Linked DNA regions of Saccharomyces cerevisiae S288C. The gene in region 1 interacts genetically with each later gene. Each region holds a gene or a part of one and is shown on either strand. Other genes may lie near its edges.

Region 1 (4,329 bases):
AATTAACTGAGCACCAAGTTGGGTAGAAATTACCACATTCACCGCATTTATTGGCATTCTCGGACGAATTAATCAACTCCTTTAATTCTCTGTCAACATGTTTTAAGCTATGGGAAGAACTCCTAAACCTCATTTTTGACTAAGTATAAATAAACTATAATCTGTGATTGACAGAACGCTGCCTCCATCTATATTAATGATTGATCAAGAGAAAATGTTCTTCTTCCACCCTTTTGTGAAGCATTTAGAGATCAACACTAACTTTCTTCAACTTACAATAATTTCCGGGTGCCCCCATTTATCGATTACCCGGATCCGCTTTGCATCATAGTGTGTCGTTGTCGAAACAAAAGCGCCGTATTATTTGGTCAACGTTTAATAAAGTAAAAGCAGCATTTGAGATGCTCTATACAACCTTCTTAATTGCAACCGACATAAAGGTATGTTTTTCTCTTCTTATTATGACAAGGGAAACTTGAAGAAGAATTCGTGTCTTGCCATAATTTCAGCATCATCGTCTCAACCTAAGCCTCTTCTCACGAAGGCACGCTCAAATATCTTTCTGGCTCTAAAAATCTTGAATAACGAACCGAATTTACCATCTTTCCTGCTTTTTTATGCGTCGAAAAAAAGTAAAATAACCGCCCAGATCACGAAATTGCATATAAAAGGCGATCTCCCGTCCCACCGTTATTCTTTGCGATATAGACTAAACGGCGGAAACTTTATGTGTAGTATCATAAACATTCAACAATGGTATGTCTAATAAAACCATCATGGTACACAGGACTGAACACTAACTTATAGACGGGTGCGTGCTACCCTCTTCTTATTATTAGGGGCCAAAGAGACAGACAGTATCACTCCAAGAGAAAAAGAACCGGATTCTGAACTTTTTTCAAGAGACGTACACATTCTACAACATCAAGGAATTAGAGAAAAGCATACCTAAAAAATGCGGAATCTCACCCATGATCGTTAAAGATTTAGTGCAACAAATGATTGATGAAGACGGCGTCATTTCGGTGGAAAAATGTGGTAATATTAACATCTACTGGTGCTTTAAAAATCAGACACTGCAAAAATTGTATGATTCAAGCGAGTTGATAAAAAAAAAGATACAGGAAGTAAAGTGTGATATTGCCACTTATAAACAAGAACTAGACAAAACGCTAGCAACTGGAAGGCGTAAAAAATTTACGGTAGGCCAAAAATCATACAATAGGGAGGCTCTACTGGAAAAGAGAAAAAAAATTCAGGATGAAATTAAGAAAAAGAGTAATAGTCTCCAAAAAATAGAAAGCATTAGATGGGATGCAGCAAAAATACAAGAGAATAAACAACAGATCCGCCTAAAAAAAGTGCATCTGGAGAAAACTACTGATAACATTGAGATTCTCATTGATTATTTATACAAGAAATTCTTTTTGAAGCCAGAACAGATAAGAAAAGAATTTGGAATTCCAGAAGAGTTCAAGGAATTTACGGAGGTTTAACCTTCATGCACTATACACGAAAGAACAAAAGTGTCTTGATTATTACATCTACATTTCCAGGCATAGAGCTTGCAGATTAGCCGCCCATAAATTTGCCACACTGTTTTCCGTGGCGCCACAGTCCGCGTTTGGTTATCCGGCTGACTCATTCTGACTCTTTTTTGGAAAGTGTGGCATGTGCTTCACACAATATAATTCCCGTGAGCACAGCATGCTTCGGGCCGAAGTCTGTTGGAGGCATATGCTCCTACCTTGGAAGACTCATCGCATCTCAAAAGTGTGTAAAGGGGCCTTCTGGCCATATATCCTCTGAGACCTGGTTGAAATGTGGCCAGAAGCAAAGCTGATAAAAACAACTGGCGCATACGTAGCTATATTTTAAATAAATAAATAAATAAATATATATATATATATATATATATATATACATATATATACAGTCATTGCCACACATCCCATAGCTCTGTGTGCTTACAGTTCATTAAAAACAAAAAATATCAAGCAAACAACAAAAGCATAGAAGCAAAAAGATGCCGATCAAGAGATTAGATACAGTTGTGGTAAATACCGGCTCTCAAAATGACCAACATTCAGCCTCCGTGCCACCGGTGTATTTGTCGACTACCTTCAAAGTGGACTTGAATAATGAAGATGCACAGAACTACGATTATTCCAGATCGGGAAACCCGACCAGAAGTGTCCTTCAACACCAGATTGGTAAGCTTTATCGTGTCCCACAGGAAAACGTATTAGCTGTGAGCAGTGGTATGACGGCGCTAGACGTCATCCTGCGTGGGCTCGTCTTACTTAACGGCACTGACAACCATACGCCAACAATAATAGCCGGCGATGATCTTTATGGAGGCACCCAAAGGCTGCTGAATTTTTTCAAGCAACAGAGTCATGCAGTCTCTGTTCATGTGGACACTTCCGATTTTGAAAAGTTCAAAACCGTTTTCCAGTCTTTAGATAAAGTTGATTGTGTTCTTCTAGAGTCTCCGACCAATCCGCTTTGCAAGGTTGTAGATATCCCTAGAATATTACGTTTTGTGAAATGCATATCTCCCGACACTACAGTTGTCGTTGATAATACTATGATGAGTGGACTCAATTGTAATCCTCTTCAACTGAATCCAGGCTGCGATGTCGTATACGAATCTGCTACCAAGTACTTGAATGGTCATCACGATTTGATGGGGGGTGTTATTATCAGCAAAACACCAGAAATAGCCTCGAAGCTTTACTTTGTCATTAATTCTACAGGAGCTGGATTATCCCCAATGGATTCTTGGCTACTTGTGAGGGGCCTAAAAACTCTAGGAGTTAGATTATATCAACAGCAGAGAAATGCTATGATATTGGCTCATTGGCTAGAAAATTCATGCGGATTCAAACCTACCAGAACAAACAAGGCTACGAAAACTAGATTTGTTGGATTACGCTCCAACCCGGATTTCAAGCTGCATAAATCGTTCAATAATGGCCCAGGTGCCGTGTTATCCTTCGAAACGGGGTCCTTCGAACATTCAAAGAGACTGGTCAGTTCCAAAAAACTGAGTATATGGGCTGTGACGGTATCTTTCGGGTGTGTAAATTCGCTTCTATCTATGCCTTGCAAAATGTCCCATGCTTCCATTGATCCCGAATTAAGGAAAGAGAGAGATTTTCCTGAAGATTTGGTTCGTCTTTGCTGCGGTATCGAAAATATAGTAGATTTGAAGAAAGATTTATTAGCGGCGATGGTTGACGCTGATATTATAGAAGTAAGAGAAAATGGCAAATATCTTTTCAACAAATTGAATAAGAACCTAGCTGTGAACACTACCATCGATGACCTGCATAAGCCTTTAAGTATTTACGAAGAATTTTACAATCAAGATCTCATCAGAAAGGACTCAGAATTGAATATTAAGAGTTCGAAATTGTAAGGGAAAATATGCATGTACCTTTTTTTTTTTTTTTTATAAGGTTCAAATCCAAAGATAGTAACTTTAAATAGTCAAGTATATAGACAGAATTTCAAGAACAGTAAGTATATTAAACTTTTACAGCCTTTCGGGCTGTTCCGTAAGCTCTTACTACTACCCTTGGGAAACGCACGCGCGAAGGAGGAAAGTTTGCCTCAATGAACGTGTGTAATGGCGGTCGTAAAAGGAATATAGAAATAGCTGTGCTTTTATAACTTCACTCGACAATGGGTTGACAGCAGATTTAGAAGGAAAAGAGCATACAAAAAATGTGCGATTCTCCTGCAACGACTGGAAAGCCTACTATTCTTTTCATCGCAGATCCGTGCGAAACATCAGCCACACTTAATTCCAAGGCATTCAAAGAGAAGTTCAGGATCTTGCGCTATCAGCTGGACACCAAAGAAGCATTTCTTAACTTTTTAGAAAGGCATGAACAAGACAAAATATGTGCCATTTATGCTGGGTTTCCGGCATTCAAAAAAATCGGTGGGATGACTCGAAGTATCATCGAACACAAGTCATTTCCAAGGAAAAATTTAAAATGTATCGTGCTTTGCTCAAGAGGTTACGACGGATGGGATCTGGATACATTACGCAAGCATGAAATTCGATTATACAACTACCAAGACGATGAAAATGAAAAATTGATAGACGATTTAAAGCTTCATCAAGTCGGTAATGATGTGGCAGATTGTGCCTTGTGGCACATTCTGGAGGGCTTTAGAAAGTTCTCCTATTACCAAAAACTTAGTAGAGAAACTGGAAATACATTAACTGCAAGGGCGAAAGCTGCAGAAAAGAGCGGATTTGCTTTTGGCCATGAACTGGGGAATATGTTTGCTGAATCACCAAGAGGAAAGAAA
Region 2 (4,353 bases), 500 kb from region 1:
TCCTGAAACTGATTCAGATGAGACTGAGGGTCTCTCTTTTGCGAATGAATAAATACGGGAAACTTAATAGCGTCTCTGAGGAAGAAGACGGGAGTATTGTTGAAGACCCAGTCATGGTTCCCCCACTCGGTATAGAATTTAAAAGAAACACCTCTTGGGTCTCTTGCAGTGTCTGGTGTACCACTTTCACCACCAACGGTGGAAAAACGAACAAGACCAGGACATTTGTAACCCACATTCTGGTATGGAGCGGCGTATGTAATATCACTCAAAGAATCTGTTAGTTCGAACTCCAGTCTACAACCACCACCTTTGGCATGGACTACACGCTCCGGAACTCTTTCTCTATCGAAACTTGCAATATTTTCCAGCAGATGGAAGTCTTGCAGTAAGATAGGGCCGTCTGGTCTTGAGTATTGAGAAGCGTATGGGTGATGAGAGTACGGAAAACCGTTTTGTAGAGAGTAAACTTTTTCTTGCTTTTCTTCTTTTTTACCGAACACGTTCATTTGTGAAGCTGAGCTGATTGATCTTATTGGCATGAGACAAGAGAAGGATTTTTTTAATAAGGGCAAGTAACGACAAGATTGAGTTCTGGAATAGAGGTAAAGCAACGACTTCTTATACGTGTAGCAGTAGGGGATACGATAAATGCACAATGTGTCCAGGCTACGTCGAATCCTTACAAATTCTACCTGTTGAGGGAGTCGGGGGCATTATCGGCTAGGCTAGCCTGCAGCCAGAGGGTGAAGTGAACTATACTTTTTCAGCATACGAATAGTACTGGCAATGACAATAATAACCCTTCTGGATCGGCGACGTACTCATCATTGATAGGAGGAAACAATACGCAATTTCACCGCTTGGCCCCTTACCGGTGATCCCCTTGAAAAAGAGGGCCGTCCGCGGTCTTGGCTTAGGGTCTCTGTGAAAGCACGCAGGAGAGCTGCTCAACGCGGAATGGAGATAACGGAGGTTCTATCCCCATGTGCCTCGTCATCGGTTCCTCATCATCTCTGGCTTCTTGAATTCGTTTTATTGTCACCATACAATAAGTTTGACGTCGTGAAGGCAGTTTAGTTCTCGGACTTGCAACCCCTAATCTTCAACGTCGAAAATACCTTATGACGCATATTTTAATTTTCCATCTCGCAACTAATGCTACCCTATTTTCTCTTACCAGCGAACACAATTCAAAAATTCTTAATGTTTAGCAGCTCATGCTGATATCGTATTACTATTATTACTGTGGTCATGCTAAAAAGCTGACTTATTCAATTTAATTTTTTTCTTTTCTTTTATGTTTTGATAGACAAAGGTTTTTTTTTACCTAAAATTCCTCTTTCCTCACGGACCATACGATTAAAATCATGGAAATTAAGTATTACAGTCGGTAATTTCTTTCTGGTTTTGTAAAGCCTGAAAAAATATACTAATATAGTGCAGGCGATCGTACATCTTCCAAGCATCTCATAAACCTATGCACTGTGGATTCTATGTACTTGGCAATAGATGAGCATTTCAATGAAGGAAACGCCTGAGTCAGTTATGTAAAAAGTACTACGTACGGACCAATCGAAGTGTGTAAGAGAATGTGACATCAATTGTTGTTGCATTATGTCCATTGGAATATGCAGATCGGCTGTGGCATTTGGCCAAAATGTTATAGAGTTCACACCTTATTCACATACTTTTTCATTTTCTGTGGCTTTCAAGGGTGGGGGCGGTAGTGATAACCATTCTCTAAACAAAAGCCCATGTCCCACACCAAAGGATGTTTTTTTATATCACGTTCCCTTTTCATAAAACACAAAAGAACGAATACTTTTTAAGCCGAATGAGTGACAGAAAAAGCCCACAACTTATCAAGTGATATTGAACAAAGGGCGAAACTTCGCAAAAAAAAAAAAAAAAGAAAAAGATAGTGTAGTAGTGATAAACTGGTGCTTCAATTTCTTTTTATGAATTGATCTGTATCTGCACCTAGATCGATTTGATTACAGGATAAGGGATATGGTGCGATTCGCGAGCTTTTACCAATATGTATAAAAGGCGGCTGTTTGAAGCCATTCTATCTTAATCTTGTGCTATTGCAGTCCTCTTTTATATACAGTATAAATAAAAAACCCACGTAATATAGCAAAAACATATTGCCAACAAAATGTCTGAAATTACTCTTGGAAAATACTTATTTGAAAGATTGAAGCAAGTTAATGTTAACACCATTTTTGGGCTACCAGGCGACTTCAACTTGTCCCTATTGGACAAGATTTACGAGGTAGATGGATTGAGATGGGCTGGTAATGCAAATGAGCTGAACGCCGCCTATGCCGCCGATGGTTACGCACGCATCAAGGGTTTATCTGTGCTGGTAACTACTTTTGGCGTAGGTGAATTATCCGCCTTGAATGGTATTGCAGGATCGTATGCAGAACACGTCGGTGTACTGCATGTTGTTGGTGTCCCCTCTATCTCCGCTCAGGCTAAGCAATTGTTGTTGCATCATACCTTGGGTAACGGTGATTTTACCGTTTTTCACAGAATGTCCGCCAATATCTCAGAAACTACATCAATGATTACAGACATTGCTACAGCCCCTTCAGAAATCGATAGGTTGATCAGGACAACATTTATAACACAAAGGCCTAGCTACTTGGGGTTGCCAGCGAATTTGGTAGATCTAAAGGTTCCTGGTTCTCTTTTGGAAAAACCGATTGATCTATCATTAAAACCTAACGATCCCGAAGCTGAAAAGGAAGTTATTGATACCGTACTAGAATTGATCCAGAATTCGAAAAACCCTGTTATACTATCGGATGCCTGTGCTTCTAGGCACAACGTTAAAAAAGAAACCCAGAAGTTAATTGATTTGACGCAATTCCCAGCTTTTGTGACACCTCTAGGTAAAGGGTCAATAGATGAACAGCATCCCAGATATGGCGGTGTTTATGTGGGAACGCTGTCCAAACAAGACGTGAAACAGGCCGTTGAGTCGGCTGATTTGATCCTTTCGGTCGGTGCTTTGCTCTCTGATTTTAACACAGGTTCGTTTTCCTACTCCTACAAGACTAAAAATGTAGTGGAGTTTCATTCCGATTACGTAAAGGTGAAGAACGCTACGTTCCTCGGTGTACAAATGAAATTTGCACTACAAAACTTACTGAAGGTTATTCCCGATGTTGTTAAGGGCTACAAGAGCGTTCCCGTACCAACCAAAACTCCCGCAAACAAAGGTGTACCTGCTAGCACGCCCTTGAAACAAGAGTGGTTGTGGAACGAATTGTCCAAATTCTTGCAAGAAGGTGATGTTATCATTTCCGAGACCGGCACGTCTGCCTTCGGTATCAATCAAACTATCTTTCCTAAGGACGCCTACGGTATCTCGCAGGTGTTGTGGGGGTCCATCGGTTTTACAACAGGAGCAACTTTAGGTGCTGCCTTTGCCGCTGAGGAGATTGACCCCAACAAGAGAGTCATCTTATTCATAGGTGACGGGTCTTTGCAGTTAACCGTCCAAGAAATCTCCACCATGATCAGATGGGGGTTAAAGCCGTATCTTTTTGTCCTTAACAACGACGGCTACACTATCGAAAAGCTGATTCATGGGCCTCACGCAGAGTACAACGAAATCCAGACCTGGGATCACCTCGCCCTGTTGCCCGCATTTGGTGCGAAAAAGTACGAAAATCACAAGATCGCCACTACGGGTGAGTGGGATGCCTTAACCACTGATTCAGAGTTCCAGAAAAACTCGGTGATCAGACTAATTGAACTGAAACTGCCCGTCTTTGATGCTCCGGAAAGTTTGATCAAACAAGCGCAATTGACTGCCGCTACAAATGCCAAACAATAAGCCATTAGTAGTGTACTCAAACGAATTATTGTTGCAAATAAATAAACTTACACAGTTTGAATACATAAATCAATCAGACAAATAAATACATCGGTTCAAATTATACTAAATCTAAATACTACGTTATCGCCGTGAATTACGCAATTCGCATGTTACGTACTGCGCGTCTCTTGTTGAATATTTACCAATTGGGAAAAAGAACTCGTATTTCATTCCCCTTTTTGGAAAGGGGTGGGGAGAGACTGTTGTTCAGCCACGTCAATTATTATTTTTTCTTTGGCCCTGCGCTTGTCTTATAAAATTCCGCAGCCGCCTCTTATTTTTTTTTTTTTCGATTTTTGGCCCACAGGTCATATTGCAAAAACCGAATGGCCGCGCCCCCCTCACGCACGGGACGGAAGAAGGGCGGCGTCCCCTGTTTTTCTGCTTTGGCTCATCTCTTTGGCTCCGACGGACGAAAGACGGGATTCCCCCTCCCGTGTCTTTTTATAAATAACAAG

Evidence for each region. Genes that interact genetically often act in the same process or in processes that back each other up.
Region 2: mutations in STR3 (region 1) and PDC6 together harm fitness more than expected from each alone (negative genetic interaction), as found in Saccharomyces cerevisiae (one large-scale study listed by BioGRID).

The regions. Positions count from the first base shown.
Region 1 is NC_001139.9:153,710-158,038, reverse strand, and holds STR3 (cystathionine beta-lyase STR3), read left to right. Parts: upstream 1-2,026; coding exon 2,027-3,424; downstream 3,425-4,329. Other genes in the region: GTS1 (Gts1p), read right to left, coding at 1-133; MND1 (Mnd1p), read left to right, coding at 754-756, 840-1,496; YGL185C (putative hydroxyacid dehydrogenase), read left to right, coding at 3,733-4,329.
Region 2 is NC_001139.9:650,790-655,142, reverse strand, and holds PDC6 (indolepyruvate decarboxylase 6), read left to right. Parts: upstream 1-2,161; coding exon 2,162-3,853; downstream 3,854-4,353. Other genes in the region: CTT1 (catalase T), read right to left, coding at 1-509. UniProt on the Saccharomyces cerevisiae protein: Minor of three pyruvate decarboxylases (PDC1, PDC5, PDC6) implicated in the nonoxidative conversion of pyruvate to acetaldehyde and carbon dioxide during alcoholic fermentation.